4 linked regions of the Tamandua tetradactyla genome follow. The protein of the gene in region 1 binds, or shares a complex with, the protein of each later gene. Links are inferred from orthologs where the notes say so. Each region holds a gene or a part of one and is shown on either strand. Other genes may lie near its edges. The genes, in order: CASK, DLG1, LIN7B and LIN7C.

Region 1 (7,477 bases):
GGAATAAAGTAGTAGATTTGCTAACAAAAAAAATCACTTCTTCAGTTGGGCCTTCCCTAACCAACAGGGTGGGTTAAGTCCCCTCCCTATTTTCTATCTGTACTTCCCCAACCCTAACAATCATCACTTTTCATTGTATCACTTGCATGATAGGTGTTTTCTTCTAGAACAAAGCTCAAAGAGGGCAGGGACCCTGTTTGCTTTATTTATAGCTGTAGCCTGGTGATTAGCATGGACATTCATTGGATGAATATAAAATAAATGATTTGCAACTTGGCATCAGAGTATAAGTCTAGTATATGTAGCCTTTTTTTGGAGAAATTAATGATGTCTTTTGTTTGAACTTAGAACATCCTATTTATAATAAGAGGCAATAACTTTATTCCAGTTTAGAGCTGTGTTGCTGTAAATTTTATTCATTAATTAAGTAATAATTTATATGTTTAAACAATCTAGCTACAGAATGAGGCTGAACTCTAAAATGCCTAAATTAATTCTGTACTACACTGACCTCAGTATTGTTCTCATGCTAATATTTCTCTAGGGTTTGTTTTCCCTTTTATTTCTGGATCATGTTGAAATTTTATGGGAATCCAACAGCCAGAGACTATCAAATGCAACCATAAGTCCAACACCTAAAAGCCATTGAGGATATTCACTGACATTTCAGAAACAAATTTGTTTAGCACCAAACTCAGTCTTATGAGTTATGAGATATTTCCTAATTTTTAAAGGACTATAAATTATATACTAAAGGTATATATCTACATTACGATGGAGATACGAAATTATTTCATTGGTAATTTTCCTAGTGTTGGAGATACTGCTGACTGGCTACCAGAAGCCATTCCCTACCTGCTTCTCCATTGCCTATTTCCAAAGAAGAGGCAAGAATAGTCAAATACTCTTGCCCCAAGCTTCCCTTGAAGTTGAGGGTTGCAATGTGACTGTTCTGGCTAGTGAAATGGGAAGAGATATTTTCTTTCCTTAATAACAGATGGGAGAGGAGCAAAAAATGCCTTCCTTACTCCCATTTGCCCTCTTGCTTCCTGATTTTGAATACAGTTTGGTATTTGAAACTGTGGCAGCCATAGTGTGATGATGAGGCAGCAAGCTTGAGGATGAAAAGCTAACATGTAAAGGATGGTAGAGTGAAAAAAAAAAAAAAACCTAGGTTCCTGGTAACAAAGTTGAGTAGTTGAACCAATGGTAGCAACCACCTACCTCCAGATTCCTTGCTACATGAGAAAGATACCCAAACCCCTAATTCGTTTAAATCACTGTTAGTTGAGGATTGTTATTTATATCTCAACACAATCTAAGTGATACACTTAGTCACTTTAAAATTTTCTTTGTGGAAACTAAAACAGAACTAAATTGACACCAGACCATTTGTACATTGGGTATAAATACATTGAGTATTGGGTTTTTGGAAGAAATCCAGAAAAGAGCTAATTTCATTAAGAAGTCTTAGTTATTTTAGTTTAGATGCATAGAACTACCTCCAGCCATAATGCATAGTACAAATTCTTAGGGATGTGTATTACAGAGGACTTCTTCTTTATGACAAAATACCACACTTGGGACTAGGAGATCTAGATTCAGATTCAATGTTTAGCTAATTATGTGACGTGGACATCTATTTGTCTTTGAATTTTTCACCTGTCATTTTTAGGATGGTTTCTTTGAAAGTAACAGGGAATTCAACTCAAAATGGCTTAAACAATTAGGGAATTCATTGCCTTATATAACTAGGATGTCTGGAGGTTTGGCTGAACAAGGAGATCAATAATGTCATTAAGGACACCGTTTTTCTCCATCTCCCCCCCTGCTGCCCTGAGTTCCACCTTCATGTTATGCCTGCTTCCTCTCAGGGGTACTAGATGACTGCCAGCAGCAATTGAGGCTGCCTCTTTATTCAAAGCCAGAGTGGTGATTTTGATGGGGGTGTGGGGGGTGGGATGAGGAGAAAGAGGGTGTTGGAAGTGATGTTGGGGAAAGTCCTGAGCTTTGTGCTGACCAGAAGACCTTGAACCATTCAAAGCCATGGCCATGGAATGCCAAGAGCTGAATAAATTAGGTCAATCTTTGTGACAAAAGGGCTGGATTTATTAGTTTAATGAATCAGGATCCACTTTTCCAGGTGAGGTGATTACAATCCCACCTCAAGTTCATGGCCACTATCCAATGGTGGAGGGGAAGATTGGCTCTTGGGAGAGCAACCACCATATCCCCCCACATCTGAGGGAATAATGAGGAAATTGGACTAGCTCTAAGGCTCCTTCCAGATCTAAACTCATGATTCCATGAGCAGAGAGCATACCTACCTCGCCTTTTTTTTTCCCCTTAACCTCTACTTTCTTTTCTGTTTTACCTTATAATTGTCCTTTTCTCCCTTTGAGCATAGGTCCCTGTGAAAGATAAAAAACCAAAATGAAGTAGTCAACAGCCTTGGCATAGTTCCCATTTGGGCTGGGAAAAGGAAGTGAAGTCGACAAGGTGACTTGTTAGGGTTGTTGTGCACTTCAGGGCAGAAGGGAGTGACCTATTTATTGGGGGTGAGTGATTTGGACTTGTACCTTAAAGAAGGCCTATGTTTCGCAGGCTCTGGAGCTCCCCTCCCTAGAGAGTGCACAAGCTCTTTGGGAAAGGAGGAAAGCAAAGCCTTCTTGTGCAATTATAATTTTCCTTTGATCCGCATTGTATAAAGGGGGACTTAGTTCCTAGATCCTTAACGCTGGAAAATTCCTCAGCTGCTTGAGGGAGTGGTCGAGGCTTTGCACCAAATACCACTGAAGCGAAAAAAAGGCTGTGGATCTTCACCCACCCCTCAACTTTAGTAAACATTATATTTTTAAATTACCACACTGAGAATTTTACCACATGATTTCTGAAAGCTGACTTATGAAGTAATTGGGCACTTCTGCTGTGCGGAGGAACAAAGACTTTTTTTTTTTATTGCGCTTTAACTGTGAGATATATACCTGTCTGATGGTTTTTGCTCATTCCGCACATGCTCAGTTGAACAGAAATCTTCATATTTGAATGGAACCTAGCTCAGTGGCAACACGCAGAACCGCCTTCCCTGGCTGACCCTGTGCATCCACTCCCTCTAGTTGCTTTTTTATCCTGATATGTCTAACACTTACAGGGAGTATAGGCAGCAGACTAGGTGCTGGGGGTTTGAGGGAAGGAGGATATACAAAAGGGCTTAAAGTCTCAGTATGCCCCTGCATTCCTGAGCTCTCTAGGTGTCCATACTGCGGGTAAGAGCTGGATAGGTATTTGCTGAGTTTGGAGCAAAAGGCGGGAGAAGCTGTCTGTAGAAATTACCGTTTGTTGTTGCATACCTTCCCAGACGCTTTTTGTTTGGTCCTTTTCTTGTAAGTGGGCATACCCCTTCTCCCAGCCCTCATCTTCATAAAGGAAGTAGAAAGTGGCACTAAAAGCATCCGCCGCCTGGCACAATCTTGAGTGACACTCTCTCTACCTGTCTTCTTTTTTCATACATCAGTATCCTTTCCCTGCCTCCTTTCTAGCAAAACTGGGAAAGGCTTCCTGCCCTTACAAAAGAAAGGGGGGTGCATAAGTGGTTACGAGCCCGTCGCAGCAGACAGCCGAGAGCGTGCGCACGATGGTGGGCCTTCTGTCCAAGACTCCTTTTGCGGCTTGGTCGCAGGCAGGGCGTGGAGGTGATGACCCAGACAACCCCTTCCTCCGCAGCTGCTGCCGGCGAACCCCGCGGGCCAACCCCCCTCCCACTCTAGATTCCCGGCGCCCGCCAGTTAGCTGTGACGTGGCTCTGCATCGAGCGCATGCGCCGGCCAGTCCGGTTCACTTCTCTCAGCCACCACCTCCCAACCGGCTGGAGTGGGCGGGGTCTGGGGTTCTGGAAAGCCGCGCGGCCGAAGAGGGAGGAGGGTGTGTGCGTGAAGCCGTGCGCCGAGCTAGCGAAAGGTTCGGTGGCTGAGGCACAGTAGGAGGAGCAGAAGGCGGTGGCTGCGGCTCCCGCCCGCACAGAGCGCGCGTCTCACGAACCTCCCTCCCACTCTAGGGCGGGCGGCGGCGGGGAGAGGAGGAGGAGGAGGTAGTGGAGGAGGAGGAGGAGGAGGAGGGAGCGTCTCTGCCACCGCCTCCTGGTCCCCAGCGCCGAGCTGCCGCCACCTCCCTCCGCGGTGATCTTCCCTCCATGGTCCTGCCGCGGCCCCCCCTGTAGCCCGAGCTGCCCCGCGTCGCGCCGGAGCCGGCCTCGGGCAGAGGGAACGGCCGCGATCTCGCGGCCCCCGAGGGCTGACGAGCTGAAAGCGGGGAGGTGCGCGGTCCCTGAGGATCCGCACTCCGGGCAGTGCGGCCCCAGCAGCGCGAGGAGCGGCGGGCGGGCGGGCGGCGTCGGGCCCGGGCCGCCCTCACTCCGCGCCCCGGCCCCGCCGCCCGCGCCGGGGCGGTCGCCCGCAGAGGCAGGCTCCGCTGCAGTCTCCGGGCCTCGCCGCTGCGGCCCGGCTCGGGCGTACTCAGCACCGAGGGCTCGCGGGTCCCGAGGGGAGGAGACGATCTCCGGGCCGGGCGCTGAGCTCTTTGGCGCCCCCACCCCCGTTTTCGGAGGCCCACTCCCCACCTCTGCGGCCCCTGTCCTCTTCGGACCATGGCCGACGACGACGTGCTGTTCGAGGACGTGTACGAGCTGTGCGAGGTGATCGGCAAGTGAGTCTCCACGCGAGGCAACGGGAGTGTGGGAATATGCATTTCAGGGATGCCCTGGTCCTCCCGCACCCGCTTCGGGCCTGCCCCCTGCCCTCCCAACCCTCCACCTCCCTTATCCTCCTCACCCACGAGTATTTATAGAAGTACCTGGACCGGGGTCTGGGGTTCTCTGCGATGTGTTGAGGCAAACGAGGCGATGTCGGGCACATGAGGCGCGGGGCGGCAGAAATCTGCTGCCTGCGTTTTATCTGATGGTTGCACAGGGACGTGGCAGAACCGATTTTATAGTTGTTTCCTGGGAACAGTTGGGCTTATTGTTACCTTGAATGTAGCACAGACCAGTAATGAAAAGAGCAGCTTGCATTTCCTTTGCTTGCATGGAGAGGTAGACGAAGAACGTCCAGGATTTTCAACTATGGGGTGTGTGTCTATTGTGCAGGATATTAGATGCCTTTGTGCTCACCCCATGTCCGGATTGGAGGGGGTCATTTAAGACGGGGTGCGTTTAGTTTCAGCAAATTCCTCACCTAGCGTAGATGAACATGGGAAGAGTTGGAGACATCGTAATTTCTAATGCCTCATTTATACGGTGACTTTGTTCGAAGCTTTCCTTGAGTGTTGATGGTGGTGGTGGTTAGCGTGGTAGAGCTGTCTGCTTTGAGTCACCCGGCTGGTCTAGAAGATAGAACTGACAGTCCAAATGCTCATCCTTTCATCTTTGTTGTATAATTACACTAGGGAAAGGCATGGAATCAGATTAATCACAGTGCTGATTGAGAATTAAATCTGCAGTTCTTCATCTAATTGTCCATTCCTTAAATCTGTTTTGAATAGTTTCCTTTTCATTCTTGTCAAACACTATTCCAAGTGCACAATTCTTGGAAGGGAAATGCTGGCAGTTTGCTTGTGAGAGAAATGCTGGCTGGCAGTTTGAAGTTGATTTCCTAGTTCAGCGTTGTGTTCTCTGGCTTTAGAAGTTGGGGAGATAAGATTTAAGAGTAATTTTGGCTTATTTAATAAAGATTGCTGGGTAGCTACATCGAAATATTTATTGCCTATTCAGAGGTCTGTATTTGGGAATTGAAACCTTAGAACAGTAGGCTCTATTTCTTTTAAATTGTCTGCAGTACTGAATTTCAATTTGTTTAAGTGCTGAAAACTCATTTTTTTCCTTCCATATTGAGGTATTACAGTTTTGCATGAAATGGTGAAACTGTGAGTAGAGGTTGCTACACACTTTACTCACACCCAATTGCCAGGAGGACATGTTACTCCTTGCCCCTATTGTTACATGACCAGCCTTTCTACTAGAAGGATATACAAATATAACCCGGTAAAGTGGTTGAGGAAGTACTCTAGGGCAGCACTGTCCAAAGATATAGAATGTGAGCCACATATGTAATTTAAGATTTTCTATTAGCCACATAAAAAAAGTAAAAACAGGTGAAACTATTGTCCATAAAATATTTTATTTAACTCAATAAATCTGAAATGTTATCGTTTCAACATGTAATCAGTATAAAATTTTTTTTACTTCCTTTCTTTTTCTTTCATGTGAAGTCTTTGAAATCCAGTTTATGTTTTACATGAACAGCACATATCAATTATCATACTAAGCTAATTTTCTTTTCGAAAATACTTTATCTGTATTTAGGTTTCATAAATTTTACATTTGAAAAAGTAGATTCACATATCTAAGTTGCTCCAAACATACTTAAAAGTTTTCCAGTAGCAGAATTGAGCGTGTGTTTCTAAATTTAAATTTAAATTATTTAAAATTAAATAAAATTCAAAATTCAGTTCCTCAGTCAGATGTTTCAGGTGCTCAGTGGCCACATGTGAATAGCACCATTCTAGAGAGACAAATATGCCAGAAATCTCCTTGGTTTCTTTATTTTTAGGAGCACCCAGTGAAGGTAAATTAGGTGTTTCCCCAAAGCAGCAAAATGACTGTGTGTGTGGGTGAACTATGTTTGTTGCATCTTAGTTATATCTGATGTAAATGCGCCAGCAAAGTCATAATTGGAAAAGGTGAGAATAAAATGTTGGTTATATTGTGATGACTGAAAATAGCCAGCATTGAATCAATTTTGATAGCTAGTTCTGATTACTTAACATTTTTAAGAGTGGTGATATGATATTTTAGGATATTTAAAATAAGTGATCAGCATCACATTAGCACAATCAGTATTTGCTGACTTAATTGATAGAATAGTTTTAGGAAACACTCCTGGTAGAGCCAAATCCATCTCTTTTGTGGTTTTGAAGCTGCTTGAGGAGAGAGAGCAAGCTAATTTTGAGGTGATAGGCATTCTATGGCTACCTTGACTACTGTGATCTGTGAAATCTTGTTCATATCCTACAAAATCTGACTTGGTCAGTTCCATTGACAATATGCCACTCCGTGAATAATGAATTCCAGGTAATCTTATTGGTAACGAATGTAATGATAGTCTTCCTTACCCCATGTAAAGGTTGAAGGTTTTCTAGTAAATTGTCTCAGCATATATTGATCTGAAAATTGAAATTCACTTGAGATTTTCTTGTAGGGACAGTTGACAGCATATCATTTTAACTTAGGATTTGTTCAACTCTGAATTTAAACAGAAAGGCCTTGAAGATGCTCACTTGTACTAAAAACATTTTTGTTGATGTCTGTCCAAGGTCTGTGGAATTTTGTTTTTCTTCTATACCAAATAAGTACCATCAGTTGTTTTTGACCACTAGGGTTTTAATAGCTTTAAATTTTTACTAAGGCCTCTTTAAAATGGATTTA
Region 2 (7,007 bases), on another chromosome or scaffold:
AAATGTTGATAACTTCTGAAGATGGATGGACAAGTACATGGAGCTCATTATATTGTTTTCTCTTTCTTGCATATGTTTTTAAAAGTCTATAATAAAGCTAAATTTTAAAAAGTGCTCAAGTGTACTGAGGTCTTCTTAAAAATCATTTTTATTCTAAAGCATACTTAGTACAGAGCAACTATTTACCAATGAGTTATTTGACAGGATACACTGACTTGAAAGCAGTTCTTCAAATCACACCAACAATTACTCTGCCAATAGATAAATATAAAGCCACCTCTAATTGGGAATTAGGAGAAAATAAAAGTAATGCAATGATGTATTATATCTTATTTAAAAGTTATCTAGTCAGTGACTAATTATTTTAAAAAAAAATTTATTCTTAGAATTAGAAAGGATAAATCTTCTCCAGTTAAATAATTTGCAAACTTTTCAAGATACCTAGAAGAGAGGGTCAAAGACAGAGCACTTTGTTCTATATATCAGGGACTGGTCAAGAAACGAAAAATTTTGTTTTTAAAAAGGATCTAGCCGCTTTAAAAAAAAAAAAAGGCTTAAAAACCACATTCTACTTTACCATCTGCATTCTACAGCTAATTTTGGCCTAGAAAAGGTTAAGTGACTTGCATAAGATCATTCAGTTAATGGTAACATCAGAAATAGAACTCAAGACCCTTGACTACTGGCCAGTTCTCCTTTGAAACAATGCACTACCTCAAATTTAAGTTACACTTACTAAAACTCTGTCACAATTTTCTTCTCTGTAAAATGAGGTTTAGAGATTATTTAATGATCGTTAGACAAGATCACCTTTAAGATCATTTTCCATTTTCTGACTCTATGAATACAAAGTTTAAACTGATGTCTACATTAAGGAAATGAATGTTCTTAAATATAACACAACCCTTCAAACATTTTCAAGGACTCCAGAGAAATGTAAGTCAAATACAGAACAAAGCTAACTACCTTTTGGGTCCTGAAACACATTCGCAAATTCTCCATCATTTAATAAAGATAAACCTTGTTATCAAAGGCCTCTAAAATAATCATGTTGAAATATTTTTGGTTATTAGATTTTTTGGAAAGGATACTGGTGTATCAAAAATATACAACTCATTGAAGATGTTCAAGTTGTTGAATGTCTGATAGATAATCAAGTATATCATTCTCTTTGGTTTCAAATAACTGAATTCAGAGAAGCTTTAAGACATAACATAGTCATAAATAAACTTTTAATTCCCACCTATTAAAGCCTGAAAGAGGTTGCTCTGAAATATGTTAATAACTCGCTCTATAGAACTTCTGAGCTGTCTGTCCTCAGTTTGGCTTAGTTTCGAGCGATAGTCTTCCAAAAGGTGCAATGCTCTCTGGGTATCTGAGAGAAAAAAAGAGCCTGGTTAAAATTGTATATTTACAAGAAATTATTACACACTAGCTATGCAGACAAATGATTCTGCAAGACATCCAAACTGTTCCCAGAATCCTCCAGGTTAATCTTTACTATGTACATGTAGACATATATTCCCTGGAAGGACGGGAAAATTTTTAAACAGATGTTATTCCACAATAGGAAAAAGGTGAAGATGAGCAGTCTGTAATAAATGTGTACTGGTAACCCGCCCCAGTAAAAGATCTGATCAAAATATTACCAACAGTTTCAGATTATCTGATTTACAAAAGCAGATTATCCACAATTTGTCATAATCCAAATCTTAAATGCTTCAAAATACTAGTACTTAATCAGTATCTCACAATCACTCAAAAAACAGCGTTTAGTAAGAATGGCAAGCAGATTTTTGTGGAGAGTTAAGGGGGTGGATTTATTGCCTTTCTAATGGCTTAGAGAGATATCAAGGAAGAAAGTTTAACATTTAGGTGTTCCCATCTCCTGAAGTGATGTGAGCTTAGATTTCCCAAGTAGTAAAGCTAGGACGGTACTGTCTCACCAAACTTACACAAACATTTTTAAAACACAGCAATCACAAAACAGCTATACGGAAAGGTGACACTCCAAAAGAGAGTTCAGAAATAAATTCTCACCTTGCTTCCGGACCGGCATTGTTCTCCAGAATCAGGAAGAGGGCACGCACCTTTAAAAACACAAAACAGAAAGGAAAAAAAGAAAGAAAGTAATCGTGGTTAAGCCACCACTTTCCCTTAAATCGAAAACCTCCCAGCCCCATCTGAGAAGCCTACCTTGCAAAGTTTTCCCAAATGAAAGGAAGAACCTCAAAACCCTGCGGTGTCAATCCTAGGTACCACTGCATATTAAGAGCAGAAAGAAGTGCATTCTTCGAAATTCTTCTCTAAAGCTTCTCCCTCTCCAAAGAGCACTAAATGCCTAGACGTGGGGCCATTAACACTCCCAACTAGGCAAAAGTATCCAGCCTCCCCATCTACTACTTGGGGTCAAGAAGCGCTCCGACCCTTGTTGGCCCCTGAGCTAGCAGCGGCCAAGGAGCGCTCCAGTAAGGGACCAGCTGGGCTGATCACCCCGCCCCGCTGGGGCCCCCAAGCTCTCACTTGCCTTTCTCCTTGCCCGTTTCCTCTGGGCTACTCCAGTGGGGGCCGGACGGGGCAGCTGCCGCTCTCCGCGACGTCCTCACGCCCCACATGCACGCCTCCGCTGTACCCCACACCTGCGGCGCGGCCACAAAGTTCCTGCGAGCGGTGTGCGCTCGGAGCCGGGGTTCGCTCTAGTTGGACTCCAGGAGGCTCCCCAGCCCTGCCCGGCTCCACGTTCCCCCGCCCCGCCCGGGTCTCCAGTCGCTAAGGTGAGGGGGTGAGGGGACAGGATAAGAGCTCCCGCCTGCGGCCGCACTCCCGCAGCCTCTTCCTCCTCCTCGGCCGCAGACGCCGCGTCCTCAGTCGCCGCGGCCTGCTAGCCCCCACGCCCTCACCTCTCCCGGCCGCCCCACCCCCGGAAACTCGGCTCTTTCCGCGCCCCCAATCTCTCTCCCCCCAAACTTTCCGCCAAGATGGCGGCCTCGGAGCCGGACTGCTGCGCCCCCACGTGACTGCTCTCCCGGCGCTCTCAGCCAATGGGAAGTGAGGAGGCGGCTCGCGCCGAGCTCTGGGCTCTCAGCGCTGCTACCTTTGGGTTGGAGGGGGAGGAGAGCGGGGAGGGAGCTGCGGAGCGCGAAGGGGTCGCCGAGAGCGTCTCGAGTGGGCTTACTCATGTAAAGGGGCGGGCTCCGAAGTGGTGCTAAGGACGAGGGAGTTGACGTACAGGCTCTACAGGTGGTCTAGGTGGCCTTGAAAGAGCTCGCCTTTACTTCTCCCTAGCCCACCGGTGCGCCCCGCGGTTTCTGAGCTAATGTCGTTGTCAGGCCCGAAAGGGTCGGGGCGTTAAAGAAAGACGTGACTTCACACCTGATCCTGGGCACACATTCCCAGACACCCCTTAACCTCACCAAACACGTGCTGTTTCCAACTCCACGACATAAGAGTGCCTGGCGCCCCGCAGGATGGATCCCTATTCGGGGTGGAGCAGACTGTGCCACCCATGTTAGGGGGCGGGAAAGGGAGGGAACTAGAAGCGGAATGGGGGGGAGGAGTTAGGGCGGGGTGCCACCTTTACACTGCTCCACTTTGTACTGTTTTTTTTTCTGTTGCTCTTCGCCCCGCAGAGTTTGGAGGCTTTTAATTAAAGAAGAGGCTGCAAAACAGGGAGATCGGTAAATACGATTAAAGTTTGAGAGTTTTAGCAGAGGACGTTTACATCTAAGTATGACTGCATTTAAGGGTAAGTAGAGAAGATGCGTTCATTCATTCGCTCACTCTCTCACTTCCTCCATGCCAGCTTCCCTGCCCAGTCGCTAGTCTCAGGTATTACCCAAGCTCCGCCAGCCCCTTTAAGAGCTCACCTGTAGCCACCTCCTCAGAGAATGAGCCAGCCTCAGCCTGCAAGGCTGGTTTAAGTTTCGCACACACCTCAGAAGGAAACAGAGGGAAGGCTGAACCGCCTGAGCTGAAGAAAGGGAATCGCAAAAAACTCTTCAAGTTGTTACCGAGGTCTTCGAGCTTCCTCTGGATAACAGGAACCTCCCTTCTCTGAGATTCAGAGAGGATTTGCTCAGGGTCACCAGAGCTGGTGACAGGACTAGAAACCTGGAGAGCCTGTCTTTCAAAACCAAAGACTCTTCCAAGTAAACCTAGCAACCTTTCACTGAAGCTGTGTTCATGGGATCATTAAGGGAAGTCTAGGGAACCTTCTGTACTGTAACTGTAACAGCTGTTCACAGGTATACTGACCACTGGGTTTTACTTTCGGATTGCACCTTGGAATCCTAACTTGTCAGGAAAACCCAATGACTTTAGAGCTCATGTAGACCCACTCTTATTTTAAATAAAGAAATTGTGAGGGAAAGCAACTTTCCCAAAGACATACAGGGTTGTGACAGAGCAGCCCCAGAACTCAAGTCTCTTAAGCCCCAGTCAGGACTCTTTCCACTGTGATTTTGGACAACTGGATAGGTTGGTATATTGGCAGCAGATCGTTATGCTCTTCTGGATCAAGCATCATGGGAGCTTGAGTAACAGCAATATTGCATAAAGAAAATAGGACAGAAGAGTGAAACGGGGATCCTAAAAGCAAGAAGCTTAAATAAAGAGATGGGGTTTTCAAAATAGTGAAAATGAATGATGGCATACATGCTATTATCAATACGTCATTGATGAACTGTGAATGTAATGATAAGAAGAAATGTAGCCTAAGAATAGAATCTCTTCAGAATTCAGGAGAAAGAGGGAGGGAAATTTACCCTTCTCCCTCAAAGCCATTCATTGTTCAAATATGTTCACTTAGTAGGCAATGGGGAAAAATTTTAAGTTCCAAGTCCTGCTAAGGATCCACGGTCTAATAGCAAATAGATAAATGAGCTGTCAATGTCATCCTAGTCCTGCCTTAAAAACAAAGAGGTGGTGGAAGAGGAAAAGGAGAAAAGAGGATATGATACACTTCTTTCTTGCTAACTTCTAGCCTTTGGTGGTTGGGTACTGAACTCCTGCTTTATAATGAGAGATCCATCCTCAAATTTCTATATTGTAAATTAATGGGCTCCCATGTGGGTGTAGAAATACTAACCGCCTCTCATTTACGCCCTTATAAAGTCATACTTTATACTGGTATAGTCCTTCAAACATTGTTCAAAGGACAAATTTAACTCATTTTAGTTTCACAGCATCTTATGGCATAAATTTATTGGTTATGATCTCCTACTTTGCAGAAGAGAACACTGAAGAAGAAGAAAATAACCTCGTCTAGGACACCACGGCTTGCTGGTAATAGAACTGGGATTGATCATTAGTTCATTGTTTGCTTTGTTTTTTAATAAAACAACAACAATGTAAATGTGTGAGGGGGGCAGAAACAGAGACAGAAGAAAAGAGAAAGAGGGTGAAGAGAGAGTCTGAGAAAGTATAAAGAATAAGATATAACAAAGCACAAGTCATGGGATAGTCTGTTATGTATTTATCACATATTTGAATGTCTTTAACAATGAAAGCAATTTTGATGTAAACAGATATATAGCCTTTGAACGCAAAGAAATGAATATCCACACCCTTGTTATATGGTATGTCTAAATGAGTTGGGTTTTTTAATGTAAAGGTATATTTTTAAAACACTCTGCTTCCTTCTCTCCTTCCTTTATCCTGACAAGAATCTTTGAGGATTCATAGATACATGGGACATTCAACCTGGAAGGGCCCTTAGCCACCATCTAGTCCCACCCCCTGAGTTGACAGATGTGTAATGTAAACAGAAGAGCTCCCAAACAGCATCAGCACACAAATATCAAAGGACAATGATCACTTTTCCATGATGGAAGAATACTACTGGCATTTCAGGGAGAATCAATCTTCCTCTATGAAACAGAGAGAAGAGAAAAATTTAGTAATCTTTGCTAAAGATAAATTTCTAAGTGTAACCAAATTTGCCTTTCTGCTTTTGAAGAACTCATGTTATTGGCAGAGTTGTAGGATCCCTTACTAAAGTATTAAGAATTGTGCTGAAATCTCCTTACATGAGATAGCCTCTTCAGCCCTCCGGTGACCGAAAGTATCTGTTCAAAGAACAATTTGGTACTAGTGGTCAATGAGAGGGAGGGGAAAGGGATATCGTCTGTGTGAGTTTTTCTTTTTTCTTTTTCTTTCTTTTTCTGAGTGATGCAAATGTTCAAAATCATGGTGATGAATGCACACTATGTGATGATATTGTGAGCTATTGACTGTATACCATGTATGAAATGTTTGTATGCTAAGAATGTTTGTGTGTTAGTATGTTAAGTTCTATCAATAAAAATGTAAAAAAAAAAAAAAAAGAGCCAATTAAGAAATTTGGGAATCTTTCAATAATCACTGGAGGTTCCTCACTGCTGATAATGACCTATGATGTCCAGTTCTACAGGTTTAAAAAAAATAGGTAGCTTCCCTGTGTTACACTTTCAATTACATTTATAAATGTTTTTATATTGCCAGTATTTTCATAGATACCTGAATAGTGGAAAACAAAGAATTCATAAGAGAAGTGTGACATCCTTTATTTCTCAACAGGCCTCAAATGACTAAATATAGAGTGGGGCATGACCTGAATTCATGGTGAAAAATTGTCTTGGTTCTTCTTAGACTTAGCTGCAACTCTATTACCTTTCCATTCATGTTAGCAGCAACATCATAGGCTAATCATGCATTCTATTCATATTGACTTTGATTTACTACAAATAATTTTATAACCATGGTAAGCTAGTTTTGGCCACCTCTTTGTCATCAAAAGAACTTATTTAAAAGAAGCTTTTGATGTTTTCTTTATTTATCTTACATAAATCAATAGTTGTTTTTTCATTGCACTATCAGTCTTCCTGTAAAATAGTATTGAATAAGATGAAGGAAAATATCTTAATCTAAAATAATGTCATAATAAAGATCATAATTTATGACATTCTGCAACAGTTCTATCTTTATCATTCCAAAGATTGTGAATTTGTGCATTTATAGAAATCAGCTTG
Region 3 (7,618 bases), on another chromosome or scaffold:
CCAAAGATAACCCCACATTATCTTGTAGCTAGACTTTTGGCATTGGCAATGAAGAAAAGTCTGTTGGACTAACATGGCACAGAGCAATTATGAAGGCTGGACAAATCCATAAAGACATTGGAGAACAACCAATGTAAGCTGAACTTGGGGCTAATCTCTATGGGGAAGTACGTAGAAAGTGGTCTTCATGTTTACCCTTGCTTTTTCTTGGAAGGCATTCACCTGTCTACCCTGGGTACTGGACTCTTCTCAGAAAGTGTCAGTTCTCCCCTAGGCTGAATTCACAGAACTCGGATCCGGTAGCTGGGACTTGAAGGCAGAGTTCCCAGATAGGAGCGAATCGAGTACCCAGATGTACATGCAGTCTTCCCATAAGGCATTCAGCAGTTTCTGAATGGCTCATGCTCATTGCAAAACCTCCAAGAAACCAGAAAACAGTAACTGGAAGGCTAAACAACTAAGCAGAGATTTGAGCAGCCGTGCAGTTCTGGGGAAGCCGAATTGGTGTTCAAGGCCTTCCAAAGTGGGGTGTCTGGTTGAGTGTCCCAGTGCCACAGTCTAGGAGTAAGGGACAACTGAGATGGACCAGCCTAAGGAAGCCGAGGCTGAACATTACCAGGATTGAGGTGGTCTGACAACCAGAAGAAAACTCTGGAGGAAGATACTACCCACCCAGCCTCTGATCTTTTTTTAAAATCTTTTCGCTATTTTTATTTAAAAATCATGGGGTTACAATGTGGTGATAATGCAAGCCACTGATTATGTACTTTGGATGAATTACAAATGAAACACTATATCTCAATAAAGTTGCATTTTTAAAAAATCATAGGATTATGCTTCCATATAAAGCTTGTACAATTAGCAATGTAAGATACTAAAATATTTTTTTTTTTAAAAAAACCTCAGAATCCCTTTGATTCAATGCTCTTGTGTTTTTAAAAAAGAGAAAAATAAATAATGCAAAACTCAAGAGTTTTGGAGTGTTTGGCATGCTGCCCTTCGTTTCACTTGTCGACGTCATTTTACCAATAACAATGCAGCTGAGTTGCCCAGGCAGCCAATTCCTCAGGACTTGTCCCCACGGCCTCTGTCCCTACCACCTCCACGCCCGCTGCCTGCACCCCCACTACTGTCCAAGGGCAGAGGAACCCTGGAGCCCTGGCCTGGCACAGCCTCTGATCTTTAATACACAGTGCTCAGCGCCTAGCAAATTACCAGACATGTTAGAGAATGAAACTATGGAAAGAGGGAAAAAAAAAAAAAAGTTGAAGAAACAGACCCAGCAATGCTTCAGATGTTGGAGTTAGTGAGACTTTAACCACAAAATAAGGAAAAGATGGAGAATTTTAACAGATCTGGAATCTACCCACCTCCCAAAAAGCCATGGGAATTCTAAAACTGAAGAAAATTAATTCAGTAGATGAATTTATTAACTGATTATACATAGCAGAACAGAAGATTAGTAAGCCAGAGACAGAAGAGTGTGAAGTATCCAGGTTGAGGCCCAGAGAGGAGAAAACAGTGAAAAATACAAAGAGTTTAACTAAATAACAGGATGATTGAGAAAGGCACAATTAGGAGGTCCGTTTCGGGCAATGTTACAGATTCAATAACCTGCAGTCTATGTTACGAACACTAAAAGTGTTAGGAAAAATAAATAGGCAGACTTTCTTGAAAATAAGGGAAATAATGAAAAAGGAAAGCCTTTTTATGATGTGGGGGTTATTCTCCATCAAAACGAGGATGGAGATGTTGGATCCTATTCAGCAGGGCAATGAAGAGAAGTCCCAGAGATTTCCAGAGAGCAGCTGGGTCCAGTTTGGGGTAAGAAGATTGAAGTTGCAGGATAAAAAGAGAGGATTCAGTAAAATATCTTACGACAGAGTTCGAAAGAAACAGAATGTGATAAAAGGGGAAAAAAGGTAGATAGAAACCAAAGAAAAAGCAAGAAGCTGTTCAAAATAACTGTAATCACAGAACACTAACCTGGGCTCTAGGATAAACAATATTTACAGTAATAATATTAGCATTTTATTGACTTCATTAAAAATTGGTACCATAAGACTATCAAGGGAAGAGAGAGAAAAGACTAAGAACAGAAAGCCTATATGTAATATATTTAATAACATCTAAAATTGATAAATCAGGAAATGGTACAAAAGAACGAATTTCACCACCTACCTCATTTCAGCAACAAGAAAATCAAAATGGATCAAGGACCTAAACATAAGAAATCATAAAACTCAGAAGGAAACAGGGAAAATCTTCGGGTCCTTGTATTAGGCAGTATTAGGAAGCAGGTTATTGAATCTGTAACATTGCCCAAAACGGACCTCCTAATTGTGCCTTTCTCAAGGTTTAGATATGATATAGAAATATGAGCAACACAAGAAAAAAATAAGATACATTGGATTTCATCAAAAGTAAAAGGTTTTGTGCATAAAAGGACATTATCCAGAAAGTGAAAAGACAACCTACAGAATGGGAGAAGATATTTGGGAATGTACCTGATGAGGGTTTAATATCCCAAATTATAAAGAATTAAAACTCAACAAAAATGCAAAACAACCTATAAAAAATAGGCAAGGGGGGCGGGCCACAGTGGCTCAGCAGGCAAGAATGCTTGCCTGCCATGCCAGAGGACCTGGGTTCGATTCCCGGTGCCTGCCCATGTTAAAAAAAAAAAAAATAGGCAAAGGACTTGAACAGGTGCTTCTCAGAGGACATACACATACTCAACATCATTAGACATCAGGGAAGTGCAAATCAAAACCACAATGCCATACCACGTCACACCCACTAGGATGGCTATTATTAGGAAAACAAGTGTCGGTGAAGACACAGAGTATGTAAAATGGTGAATCTGCTGTGGAAAACAGTTTGGTGAATCCTCAAAGAGGTAATAAAGAGTTACCATTTGACCCTGCAATTGCATTCCTGGGTATATACCCAAAAGAATTAGAAATGGACATGAACAGATATTTGTACACAAAACTTCACTGTAGCATTATTCACAACAGCCAAAAGGTGGAAGCAACTCGCATCCACCAGTAAGAATATCCATACAATGGAATTATGCTCAACCATAAATAGGAATGAAGTTCTGATGAAACTTGAAGACATCATGTTGTCTAAAATAAGTAAAACAAAAGGACACATTTGTGTGATTTCACTTACATGGAGACAAAGTATATTACAGGTTATCAGAGTCTAGGCAGTGGGCAAATGGGTATTGTTGGTTGTTGAGTACAGAGTTCAGAGTGTTGAAACAGATGGTGGTGTTGGTAGTAGCATAATATTGTTAATGTGATTTCACTGAATTATACACGATAGTGGTTAAAATGGGAAAATTTTTGTTGTATGTGTTACCGTAATAGAAATTTTAAAAAAGAAATAAAAGAAAAAGTACTGTGAAGGAGACAGGGTTAACCAAACCTGCTGTAGTTCCCCCACTTTGTGAGAACCCATCCATTTCCCCATCCAGCTGAACCAGAATATGGAGGGGCAAGACTTGTCAGCGTTTCCTATGTCCATTTTTTTCAGTCTGGCCTTCTCCCCCAGTACTACCTGCAGAGTGTTCTTCCTAAAGTAACCAATGATTCCATGTCTTACATTCAGTAAACATTTTCCAGTTACCTTTGGCATGCGACACCACTGACTACTCGTTTTTTTTAAACACTCTCTTATGGTTTCTCCAACCTGGTTTTCCACCTTTCTGGCCATTCTTTATCCTCTTCCTGACTTTAACTGTTGGAAATTTGGGGGGTTTGGCTAGGTCATCTTCATAATATATTCATATGCCCTAGGCCTCCTCCCCACTCCCTATTCCACTATTTGGTTAGTCCTAAATCATACCCAGATATTTTCCAAATCTATCCTCCTCCAAACCTCCGCACTGGTGCAAGAGGACACCATGTTCCTCCCTAATCCTGCTCCCATCCAATTCTCCACACAGTGGCCCCCGTGATCTTCAAATACAAATTTGAAGATCACGGGGTTCGCAGGAAGTAAAAGCTCCTCGACGCCCACATGCCACCGCTATTCTAAATCGCTGCGATCCTTATTCTGCTACCCAGCCCCGGGGGCCCTTCTTCCAGGCCTTCAAACTCCAGGGCTCTGCAGGCTGCTCGCTCCTCCGGCAGGGGGGCCACGCCCACCTCGGGGCGCTCTTACTCCAGGTTCTGCGCCGGCGTCTTTCCTCTCCTCGGTCATCCCTCCCCACTCCCGATTCTCGTCACAGCCGCAGTTGGTTGTGCCTCTCCCGCTAGACACGAAGTTCCGTGTATGGAGTGGGCTCGTCTGCCTTGCTCATCACCGCGTCCAATATACGTTTGTCGAATGAAGGCTGAAATAAGACCAGATGGAGAGGACAGACGGGTGTGGTGGCAAGGACGGACAAACAGAGACTACTGTGGGAGTGACTGCAAACAGGGCAGAACGATGGGTGGGGGGAGGCAAGGCAGCGCGACGCGCAGACGGGCAGGTCGGGACCCCGGCACTGCGGGGCCGCGTCTCGGCAGGGGGCGCCCGTCTCGCGGGGCGGGGCCTCGCGCAGCCCCGCCCCCCTCGCCGGCGCGGGGGCAGGGGGGCGGCTGGGGGCGGCTGGCGGCGGCGGCGGCGGCGGCGGCAGTGCCATGGCTGCGCTCGTGGAGCCGCTGGGGCTGGAGCGGGGTAAGCGCACCCCGGGAGCCCTGCCCGCCCCGGCCCCGGTCCCGCGTGCCTACCCCTCCCGCGGCCAGGGCTGCGCGGGGGACGCGGGGAGCCGGCGGGGCCTGACGGGCCGGGCGGTCTGTGGGCGTGGGAGGGTCCGCGGGTCGCAGCGGGGGGCACCGGCCGCACGCCCCCGCACAGTGGCTGCGGGAGGGGGCCCTTCCGGGGAATGCGGGGCGCCCGACTGACCGCGGCGCCCACCGGCTCTGTTCTGTCCTTGCGGGCGTCCGGCTGCGCTCGCCCTTGCTCCTCTCCCGCCGCCTCGCTGCGCCCCTGCCCCGCCTCGCAGACGTGTCCCGGGCGGTGGAGCTCCTCGAGCGGCTCCAGCGCAGCGGGGAGCTGCCCCCGCAGAAGCTGCAGGCCCTCCAGCGGGTCCTGCAGAGCCGCTTCTGCTCCGCCATCCGGGAGGTGAGAGCCGCGCGGCGCCCGGCCGCCCGGAGCCCGGGGACTACGCGTCCCAGCAGCGCCCGGCCGCCCTGTGGCGCTCGCGGTTCTGCTCGGGGGCTCTTGGGGAGTTGTAGTTTCCTCGGGCCCCGGGTTGCGGGGACGGGGCGCACCCCTGGGTGGGAGGGAAGAGGGAGTGTGGGAGCCTGGCCCCCTGAGTGCGAGGGAGAAGGGACCCGGCGGCTCCCGAAGCTGCAGCGTCCCCTCCCAGGTGTACGAGCAGCTCTACGACACGCTGGACATCACAGGCAGCGCCGAGACCCGGGCCCACGCCACCGCGAAGGTAGGTGGCCCCCGCCCCCCATCCCTCTTGGTCTGAACGAACTGCCTGGGCCAGCTCAGTGTCTCTCTCGTGTCAGCCATCCCTTTTGCCAAATCTTTTGTACCACCCTTACCGTTAAATTTATGATTTCCTCGAAATACTCTCATGTTTTTTACTCAAACAAAAGTCCTACAAAGGCATCCTTGACAACTACAAATGGAAACCAGTACTGCCCTCCTGACTAGAAGGTAACCTTAGAAATCTATACGTTGAAAACAGTGACTGTCATTAAACAGTGAAATCGTAGTGAAATATAGTTAGACACTGTTTCCTGTAGCTTCCTTGCAGGCTCTCAGCTCCCTCTAGGCCTTGCTTGTTTCCCACTGATGGAAAGTGAGATTGGCAGATGTTGGGGGGTAAAGATACACACGAAACCGAGACTTCTTTCCGAAGTAATCAGAAGCACCTAGAGTGAAAGCAGGAGGCACATGGTCATCACCAGGTGATTTGGAGTTGAGTTGTGGCAGACGCCCCATGTCTGGGGAAAGCAATCTGCCTCCCAGACTCAGATCCCCCACCCCAGGCCGCATGCCCACCGTAGAGGGGCCATCCACTCCAGATGCTGTCTCTCTCCCAGGCCACGGTGGCCGCCTTCACGGCCAGTGAGGGCCACGCTCACCCCAGGGTGGTGGAGCTGCCCAAGACAGACGAAGGCCTGGGCTTCAACATCATGGGTGGCAAGGAGCAGAACTCCCCCATCTACATCTCCCGCGTCATTCCCGGGGGCGTGGCTGACCGTCACGGAGGCCTCAAGCGTGGGGACCAGCTGCTGTCCGTAAATGGTGTGGTGAGTGGTGACTGAGGCATAGTCTGTCCAAGGTGGCACAGCCCTGCTTTTAACATTCATTCATTCAACACAAAGTGATTGAGGACTGCCCACACGGCTGGGCAGTGCTGCAGACCCTGTGAGAAATTGGCCTCAGCTCGTACACTCAAGGATTGCCTCTCAGATAGACCCTGACTGAAATAGTCCTGATCCAGATGATGTGCTGTGAGGGAGGAAGCACAAAGCCTTGTGAGAAAGCAGATGTGGCATCAGACCAATCCGAATGAGGAAGGAATGTTTGAGTTGGGTTTTGAAGGATGAACAGGAGTTTTCCAGGCAAACAAGGTGAAAAAGGGTATTCCTGGCTGAGGCTGTTGCAGGTAGGAGCTGTGAGTCTTGTACTCTTCTGAAATGAAGAGAAAGGGCTTGGCCTTGATGGAGGTCTGGGACATGCAAGGAGGGACAAAGGAGAAGAAATAGGGGCAGGAGGGATAGAACTGAGGACTGAGGGCAGTAGGGAATGAGGATGAGCCTGCAGGTGAGGTTCAGTTACTGAGGGGATATAGGGTCATCCCTAACACCTGACATAGAGAACCTGAAAGGTTGGGGGGGGGGACACTGAGCCAAGAGTTAACTCTCCATAGGGACAGGAGGCCTTGGCATTTTGAGACGGTACTGTGCTCACAAGCAGTTACTCCCGTTTATGGGGTGGGGGCAGGCAGAGGGCCATGAGCCCTGGGCCCAGCTGTGGGTGCACCACCCTGCAGAGCGTTGAGGGTGAGCAGCACGAGAAGGCGGTGGAGCTGCTGAAGGCCGCTCAGGGCTCTGTAAAGCTGGTGGTGCGCTACACGCCCCGCGTGCTGGAGGAGATGGAGGCCCGCTTCGAGAAGATGCGCTCCGCTCGCCGGCGCCAGCAGCACCAGAGCTACTCGTGAGTGCCTTGTCACCGCTGGGACCTTCCACAGCCCCACATAGCCCTGGACTCCCAAACCAGGCCAATGATTCCAGGGTCCTGAATGCCACCCCCAGGTCTGGCTTCTCTTCCCTGGCACCCTGACCCTTGACCCAGGCCTGGCTTCTTTTCCCTGGCCTCCTGGCCCTTGACCCAAGTGAAGGCTTGGTCAAATCCCCTGGGAGGTCCTAGCCTAATCCTATCTCAAGATCTGGAACCCACTTCCCTGGGCCCTTGCCTCTGGAATCTGGGTCCTGGTCCTCTCCCATGTCTTCCCAGGATCCCTCCACTGAGCCTGGCTCCCTTCTCTTCACCCCCTTGCAGGTCTTTGGAGTCTCGAGGCTAAAACCACAGATTTGGACCCTCATCTCCGCCCCCACCCCTGTACAGTATTTATTGTCACCATCCCTTATTTAAAGATCTT
Region 4 (6,838 bases), on another chromosome or scaffold:
TAGTGAAATCACTATTCATTTCCCAAAGAAAAACACAACACACACAAAGATACGCACTGCTTAATAACCTGATGCTAGTGACAGGAACACATTTAAAACAATAGTAAATGAATGAAAATAATGGATTGGTGCACTTTCAACTTAGGATCATTAACATGATGTTTTAATCAAGACCAGCATGATCAAATACTTTTGTTTACAGAATAAAAAAATAAAAACAATTAATTTTGTCATCTGGTTTTAAATCTAGCTGTGTGATCCTGGACAAGTTACTTTAACCACCCTGAAGTCTCAATTTCCTCAAATATAAAACAGATACAACAAATTCACATCATAAGAGTTACCTGACTGAACCAAATAATAAATATAAAGTGCTCAGAACAGGGCCTGGCATTTAGCAAACACAAATATTAAATTGGTGCTAATTAATTATATAAAATAATAAGAGATTGCAGAAATTTATACAACTACATTAAGCATGTTAGGCAATTCTGATTGGGAAGTATAACGCTAAGTGTTCAAATATGTATATATATATATATATATATATATATATTTTTTTTTTTTTTACATGGGCAGGCACCGGGAATCGAACTCGGGTCCTCTGGCATGGCAGGCGAGCATTCTTGCCTGTTGAGCCACCGTGGCCCGCCCAGTGTTCAAATATTTTATGAATTAAAATATTTTATAAGATTTGTATACGTTTTACAACACTATTAACAACTATGCTTACTTTGATTTTTTTCTGTACCGCTGGTGGATGCAGCATTTTTCTACTATCCTTTGCCTCCTTCTGTCTTTATTCGAAGAAGTTCTAAATTTTATGTTACACTGAAGGATGGGAAAAATTGCTTTATAGAATTAGTATGGCTTTGTGTTTGCAGCTGGAAAACTAGGAGTAAATCTAGTGAAGAAAGTTTCAAATAATAAAAGCTTAAACTGATGCTGTTCAAATGCAATGTAAACAAAAACATACCTTCCCCATGCTGACTTCCCACTACTAGAATGGCTGGAGAATGGGGACTGTTGGTTCATCAAATTTTTGTTTACAAAGTTATAGGACATAACCCATATAAAAACTTCCAATTAACAGACTGTAGACTTTAAATTCTCTTATTGAATCTAAATTGTACCTAATATATGCTCAAATGCGTCCCAAAGAATCACATTCTGATGCTTTAGAAGGCGCTCAGGATCTTGATTATGTGTAGCAACTTTACACTGCAGGATGGGTGAAAGTGTTTGTTAATAAAGTCTGTGAAACAGAATTCAAAATAATCAGAGTTGATGTACTGACTCTTTCATCCTGTTTAAATGGCTATCATTAGTAATTCATCCTACTAAGGTGCTGAGCATGCTGTACCAAGGAAAATAATTCTGAAACAGCAAAAACAAAGCCATGGCTACCAAAACTAAATGCCAGGAGTGAAGTTCCACATTATCTTGTGCTGTACTTAAAATACAAATGAATGCCAATGTGTTAGAATGCTACAACTGGCTTTCAAAGGAAAAAAACACCTACTCCTGTTAACACCAGATTTGTTCTCATCTACAAAGCACAATGCCATTATGTTCAGGAGGAAGATGTTACCGTTTTAAGCTTAATTTAGCAAATCTTCTCAGAGTAGCTACTTCTCTGTCAGAAAGCATGCTTTAATTAATGCCTTGGTAAGCTGAAGAGAAACAAACTCATCTGTAAGAAATTTCTAAATGGTGAACACCATAAGGAACAAACTAACAATATGCTCATTTGTTTGTGTGACTTGAAGAGGAGAGAGGTATTCCTAGAATCATTCTAAAAATGTATTCTTCTTATAGGACCTATTTAATACTGACTATAACTGCAAATATTAATCACTGCAAGATAATTTCAATCTTCATCCTGGGCTTTGTTTAGTACTAGTACTCAAAATGTTTATTTTGTACTTCTTGGTTCTTAGCAGACTTCTTACGTGGTGTATCAAAGCTTGCTTGAAACTGCGTGAAATAAAGAAATTGGGGAGAAAAGAGTGGAATGCTGAAAATCTCTAACAACATCCCGGTACGGGTATAGGCACGTATTTTTCACAGGCTTTTTATTCTTTCTTTACTCAGAAGAGAAATTTCTATTTTCCTTGACAGTCTTCTATAAAAAACAAGCAACCAACCACAGCTAGCAACTGCAGCGTTTGTAAAAAAGAAGTGCATCTTCAAATACTTTACAATCTACCACTATTCCACCTAGGAAACGGTGATCCAGTTATGTAATCACCCTCCCAAGACCAAGTAAGTAGGATCGTTTTAAAAGCACTTAGGAAGGCACAAAGCCAGGAAATAACCCACCCCAAGTAAAAGTGAGGATGTGCTTTAAAGTAACAATGGAGTTTATAGGGTTTTCTGGGAATGTGCTGTGTGACCGGGAAGTGTGCGATACGTGGGTGAAGACGGGGACACTGGGTTTGTGCGCACTTACATACAGGTAGGGCGTGAGGTCTATATAACGAAATCTGTAAGTGGTGTGTGTGTCTGTACGAGCTGGTAGTGTGTTTACTTTCTCCGCTTTACTCGTCTCTGAACACTGCTTCTGCTATGCTCATCCAGGCAGCGCGTGTGTGGCGTGTGCCTGCGAACGCCGGCAAGGCGTGTGTGACAGTGTTATGTCAAGAGACAAACCGTGCGTGCAGAGGCGGAGTCTGGGTATCAGTCAGGATACCGCGAGCACCCTCGCTAGGGCCCGGCGCCGCCACGACCGCGGTCACCGACGCCAGCGCGGGGCACGGGGCGGACTCCCGGGCCGCCCCTCCGCCCCTCAGGCTACACAGCACTCCGTCCAACCCCCTCTTCGCGGTTCGGCCTTACTCACCTCTCTCCAGCCGCACAGGCTCTCCCAGTGCCGCCATCTTCTCCCTTTGCCCGCAGCCCCACAGGAAATGACGACAGAGGGGCTGTGATGGGGGCGGAACCTGGCCGTGAGCCCCCGGGCTAGGGCCGGATGGTATCGCGAGAGCAGGAAGGGCTCCGGAAGTGCTGGGATTTGTTGAAGTCCCTGTGCGGGGAGCTCCCGAGTCTCTTACGGTGTGTTTTCTATCGGTTCTCAAACAGATGCCCGGTTGTCGAATCCTCTGGCCTCCCGAGATTGACAAGAGCCTTTTTCTTGACTGTTGCACCCTGCCTCGGGATTCAAGCTTTATCCTATCTGCTTGGAACCCTTGGCGCCGCGTAGAGGAGTCAGTGGGAGCCTGGAATCCTGGTCCCTGCGTCACCATTAGCAGCACTGACCCTTGAATGCTTTACCTGCGTTCTCTCAGCCTCAGTTTCCTCATCTGTGCGACGAAGGAATCCAATCTCTGAGGTGGCAATTGATTGTGTAGATGAAATATTGTCAATAAAGTGCCTATGCGTGGCAGATTTCTTTTTGTGGTAAGCAGTTATTTAATTTAAAAAACTCAAGACTCAACTCTTCCCTAAAAATCTGCTTGAGAGTAAAGGTAAAGGATGGTGGAAAGTATAAAGAGCATGAAACATATGGTGAGGGAGAAAACAAGGCATTGTGGTACATCACAGAATAATTTCTAATTGCTGATAAATGTATAAATGTAACTTTATAAAGCAAATAATGCATTACAGATTCCTAGGAGCACTTCTGAAAATTTTATGAGCCAAAAAAAACTTTAGTCCCTAATTTAAATGAAGTATTAATTTTCCCAATATTTAGATCCTACTGACGTTTACCCAAGCCCTAGTCTGTGCTGACATCGTATTAGGTGCTTTCACATGCAGGTTTTCTGTTCTTCATGACAAGACAGTTTTAACAACTTCCCGGTTGCTCCCAGCCTACCCTCTCCATCCAATTATAATATTTTCTTCCCCTAATCCATCATGAATGTCACCTGCTGCATTCTGTTTTTTCCTTGAACACTAATTTCATCATCAAAAGTTTCTATTCAGAAACTTTCAGTGGTTTCTCTCCTATTTTCTATTTCTAAAGCCTTGTATTCTCTGACCCTAACTTACCCATCTAACCTCGTTTCTCATCACCCCATAAAGCGTCACCCCTCCCAAAACCATGGTTATTCCTGCTACAAGGTTTTCATTCATTGTTTTTCTTGCCTGGAATGCTCTTCTACATCTCCTCTGATTCTCTAAAGTGTGTATACCCTCAAGTTGAACCCATCCTCCACATCCCTACTGAAGACACAGCCACTTCCACTAAGACTTCCTTTCCCCATACAACCTCCCTTATGCCCTGCACTCAGGTGCTTATCTGTTATTTACATTGTCATTTGTTCTATTACAATGTATTTAGTAAATGCTTATTACATGTATAATGTCTACTAGGCACCTTCCTAGGCACTGAGGATATCATGTTGAATAAGACAAATGCAGACATTGTTCTTAGACTACCTGGCTCTATCTCTTACCAGCTGTATGATGTAAAATAGATGTAAAAATTCTTGAGCTTTCCTGGGGCAAATCCCACTTGTCATGATGTATTATATCCTTTACATATATTGTTAGACTTGATTTACTAATATTTTAAGAGAATTTTTACATCTATTTTTATAAGCAATATTGAACTGAAGTTTCCTTATAGTGTCTTTGTCTGGTATGGGCTGAACTCATAGAATGAATTGGGAAGTATTTCTTCGTCTTCAATTTTCTATAGGAGATTATATAGAATTGGTAATATTTGTTTCCTAAAATTTGGTAGATGACTGCTTACTTTAGGCCTACTTTGCTTGCTTTCTTTTTTTTCTGATTTCTAAGGTGGTAACTGAGTCCTTTCATTTGGGACCTTTCTCCTTTTCTAACAGAGGACTTTAGAATTGAAGGTTCCCTAAAACTTCTGGCTTATGTGCATCCCACAATTTTTCATTCAGTTCAAAATATAGTCTAATTTTTCTTTTGATAACTTCTTTCCCCCAATGGGTATTTAGTTCCAAGTACTTGTGGATTTTTTAGATATCTTTTTATTATTTCTAATTTATTTCCATCATGGTCAGAGAAAATATTTTGTATGATTTGATTTATTTTAGATACATCAAGACTTGTTATATTGCCCAGAAGCATGATCTATCTTATTAAAGGTTTTGTGTGCATTTGAAAATAATATGAATTCTGCAGTTATTGAATAGAGTGTAATATAAATGTCAATTAGGTCAAGTTGGCTGATAGTGTTGTTCAAATCTTTAAAATCCTTACTGATTTTCTATTTACTTGTTTCATCAATGATTGAAAGAGGGATGCTAAAATCTCTAATTAAATCATGTATTTGCCTATTTTTCTTCACAGTTCATTTTTGTTTCATGTATTTTGAAGCTCTGTTATTAGATGCGTAAATATTTAGAATATTTCCTCTTAACATCTTTATCATTATGCATTTATTCCTTTATCTATGGTAATATTCTTTGTTCTAAATCTGCTTTCTCTGCTATTAATGCAGCCACTTGAGTTTTCTTTGATTAGCGCTGCTATAGTATATCTTTTTGTTCTTTTATATTTAACCTATTCGTGTCTTTGTAATTAAAGTAGGTTTCTTATAGTCAGCATGTAATTGGGTCTTTTTATTCAATTAGGATAAAATTATCCAATTTAGATAATTTACATTTAATGCGATTGTTGATAAATTTGAATTTAAATATATAAGCTTGCTATTTGCTTTCTATTTGAGCCATCTGTACTTAGTTACTTTTTATCACCATTTAAATCTTCTTTTGGATCAATTAAGTATTTTTTATGATTCTATTTTATTTATTTTCTGGGCCTATTTTTTACATGTATCTCTTTCTCTATCCCTCTTTCTTAAAGTAGTTGCCTTAGGGTTTATTGTATACATCTTTATCTTATCCAAATCTGGAGTCAAGTAATTTTATACCTCCTCATGCATAGTTTAAGGACTTTATAACAGTACTATCCCATATTCCCCCTCCTGGGGAGGCGGGAAGTTCAAAATAAAATTCCTCAATGGATTGCCATTGTTTTTGCTTTAGATAATCAATTATCTCTAAAAAAAGATTTTAAAAATAGAAAAGAGATCTTTATATTTACCTACCTATATTTACCATTTCATTGTTTTTGTTCTTTTCTGTAGCTCAAGATTTTCATCTGTAATTATTTTCCCTTTTGCCTAAAGAATTTCCTGTAGCATTTCTTGTAGTCAAGATGGTAATGAATTACTTCACCTTTATCTGAAACAGTCTTTATTTAACCTTAGTTTTTGAACGATATCTTTGGGTATAGATGGGTATAGAATTCTAGATTGAAAGGTGTATTCGTTTTCTGGCTGCTAAAACAAATACCATACAATGTGTTGGCTTACAGTTCTAGAAACTGGAAGGCTTATTTCCTTCTGGAGTTGGTATCTTCCAGCTGGCCAGCAGTCCTTGAGGATCTTTGGCTTTTCTATCACATGGCAATGCACATAGCCACATCTTCTCCTTTCTCTTACAGGCTCCATTGATTTCCAATTTCAGCCTGCTTCCGTGGCTTCTTTTTCTGTGTGCAATTTCCTTTGCTTAAATGGATGTGAGCCATATTGGATTGAGGCTCATCCTGATTCACTACAACTTAACCAAGAACATTTTCAAAATTCCTATTTACAAAAGGGGTTCACACCCACAAGACCAGGGATTGGGACATGTGCTTGCCTTTTGTGAGGAACATGATTCAATGCCCCACAACATTATTCTTTCTTTCACTGCCTTAAAGATGCTGTTCCATTGTCTTTGGGCTTGCACAGACATTGTCTCATTTTCTTCCCAATCTTTTTTTTTTCTTCTGTTTCCTTTTGTACAGCTCCTATGCTGCATCCTCATGTTCACTATTTTTTTTCTTTTTCAATATATAATCTTCTTTTAAA

What was found.
Region 2: the proteins of CASK (region 1) and DLG1 are in contact, whole or in part, in an NMR structure (PDB 1RSO), measured with the Rattus norvegicus proteins. The link is inferred for Tamandua tetradactyla from reciprocal best matches to the Homo sapiens genes CASK and DLG1. Residues at the interface, in XP_038955489.1 of Rattus norvegicus: Gly339, Ala342, Ala343, Arg345, Ala346, Val347, Gln349, Val350, Ser353, Leu354, Glu356, Ile357, Leu360, Thr361, Asp367, Leu368, Phe370, Leu371, Ser373, Val374, Phe375, Asp377, His379, Leu380, Thr382, Leu383, Leu384, Asp385, Leu386, Tyr387; in NP_036920.2 of Rattus norvegicus: Arg4, Asp7, Thr8, Arg10, Ala11, Leu12, Leu14, Leu15, Tyr18, Lys21, Leu22, Glu26, Asp27, Leu30, Ser33, Ile34, Arg36, Val37, Ser39, Ile40, Phe41, Ser43, Leu45, Phe46, Leu49, Ile50, Gln53, Glu57, Val58, Leu60.
Region 3: the proteins of CASK (region 1) and LIN7B are in contact, whole or in part, in an NMR structure (PDB 1Y74), measured with the Mus musculus proteins. The link is inferred for Tamandua tetradactyla from reciprocal best matches to the Homo sapiens genes CASK and LIN7B. Residues at the interface, in NP_001271432.1 of Mus musculus: Ala405, Arg408, Ala409, Glu411, Val412, Glu415, Ile416, Tyr419, Glu421, Asn422, Asp424, Ala425, Glu427, Leu428, Ile431, Leu432, Gln434, Phe437, Ala439, Leu440, Leu441, Thr443, His444, Val447, Ala448; in NP_035828.1 of Mus musculus: Leu10, Asp13, Val14, Arg16, Ala17, Leu20, Leu21, Arg23, Leu24, Ser27, Glu29, Leu30, Pro31, Pro32, Lys34, Leu35, Ala37, Leu38, Val41, Leu42, Ser44, Phe46, Cys47, Ile50, Arg51, Tyr54.
Region 4: CASK (region 1) and LIN7C share a complex: the UniProt entries of both Homo sapiens proteins name them as parts of the brain-specific heterotrimeric complex. The link is inferred for Tamandua tetradactyla from reciprocal best matches to the Homo sapiens genes CASK and LIN7C.

The regions. Positions count from the first base shown.
Region 1 is NC_135353.1:130,138,745-130,146,221, forward strand, and holds the start of CASK (peripheral plasma membrane protein CASK), read left to right. Parts: upstream 1-4,473; 5' UTR 4,474-4,642; coding exon 4,643-4,701; intron 4,702-7,477. UniProt on the Homo sapiens protein: Multidomain scaffolding Mg(2+)-independent protein kinase that catalyzes the phosphotransfer from ATP to proteins such as NRXN1, and plays a role in synaptic transmembrane protein anchoring and ion channel trafficking.
Region 2 is NC_135336.1:16,123,931-16,130,937, reverse strand, and holds the start of DLG1 (disks large homolog 1), read right to left. Parts: upstream 3,002-7,007; 5' UTR 2,528-3,001; exon of another isoform or gene 2,499-2,527; intron 2,340-2,498; exon of another isoform or gene 2,197-2,339; intron 2,091-2,196; 5' UTR 2,060-2,090; coding exon 2,041-2,059; intron 1,376-2,040; coding exon 1,244-1,375; intron 1-1,243. UniProt on the Homo sapiens protein: Essential multidomain scaffolding protein required for normal development. Recruits channels, receptors and signaling molecules to discrete plasma membrane domains in polarized cells.
Region 3 is NC_135342.1:12,006,657-12,014,274, reverse strand, and holds the start of LIN7B (protein lin-7 homolog B), read left to right. Parts: upstream 1-4,611; 5' UTR 4,612-4,634; coding exon 4,635-4,671; intron 4,672-4,999; coding exon 5,000-5,118; intron 5,119-5,365; coding exon 5,366-5,437; intron 5,438-6,053; coding exon 6,054-6,263; intron 6,264-7,009; coding exon 7,010-7,173; intron 7,174-7,518; coding exon 7,519-7,540; 3' UTR 7,541-7,618. UniProt on the Homo sapiens protein: Plays a role in establishing and maintaining the asymmetric distribution of channels and receptors at the plasma membrane of polarized cells.
Region 4 is NC_135334.1:103,337,936-103,344,773, forward strand, and holds the start of LIN7C (protein lin-7 homolog C), read right to left. Parts: upstream 3,006-6,838; 5' UTR 2,880-3,005; coding exon 2,843-2,879; intron 1-2,842. UniProt on the Homo sapiens protein: Plays a role in establishing and maintaining the asymmetric distribution of channels and receptors at the plasma membrane of polarized cells.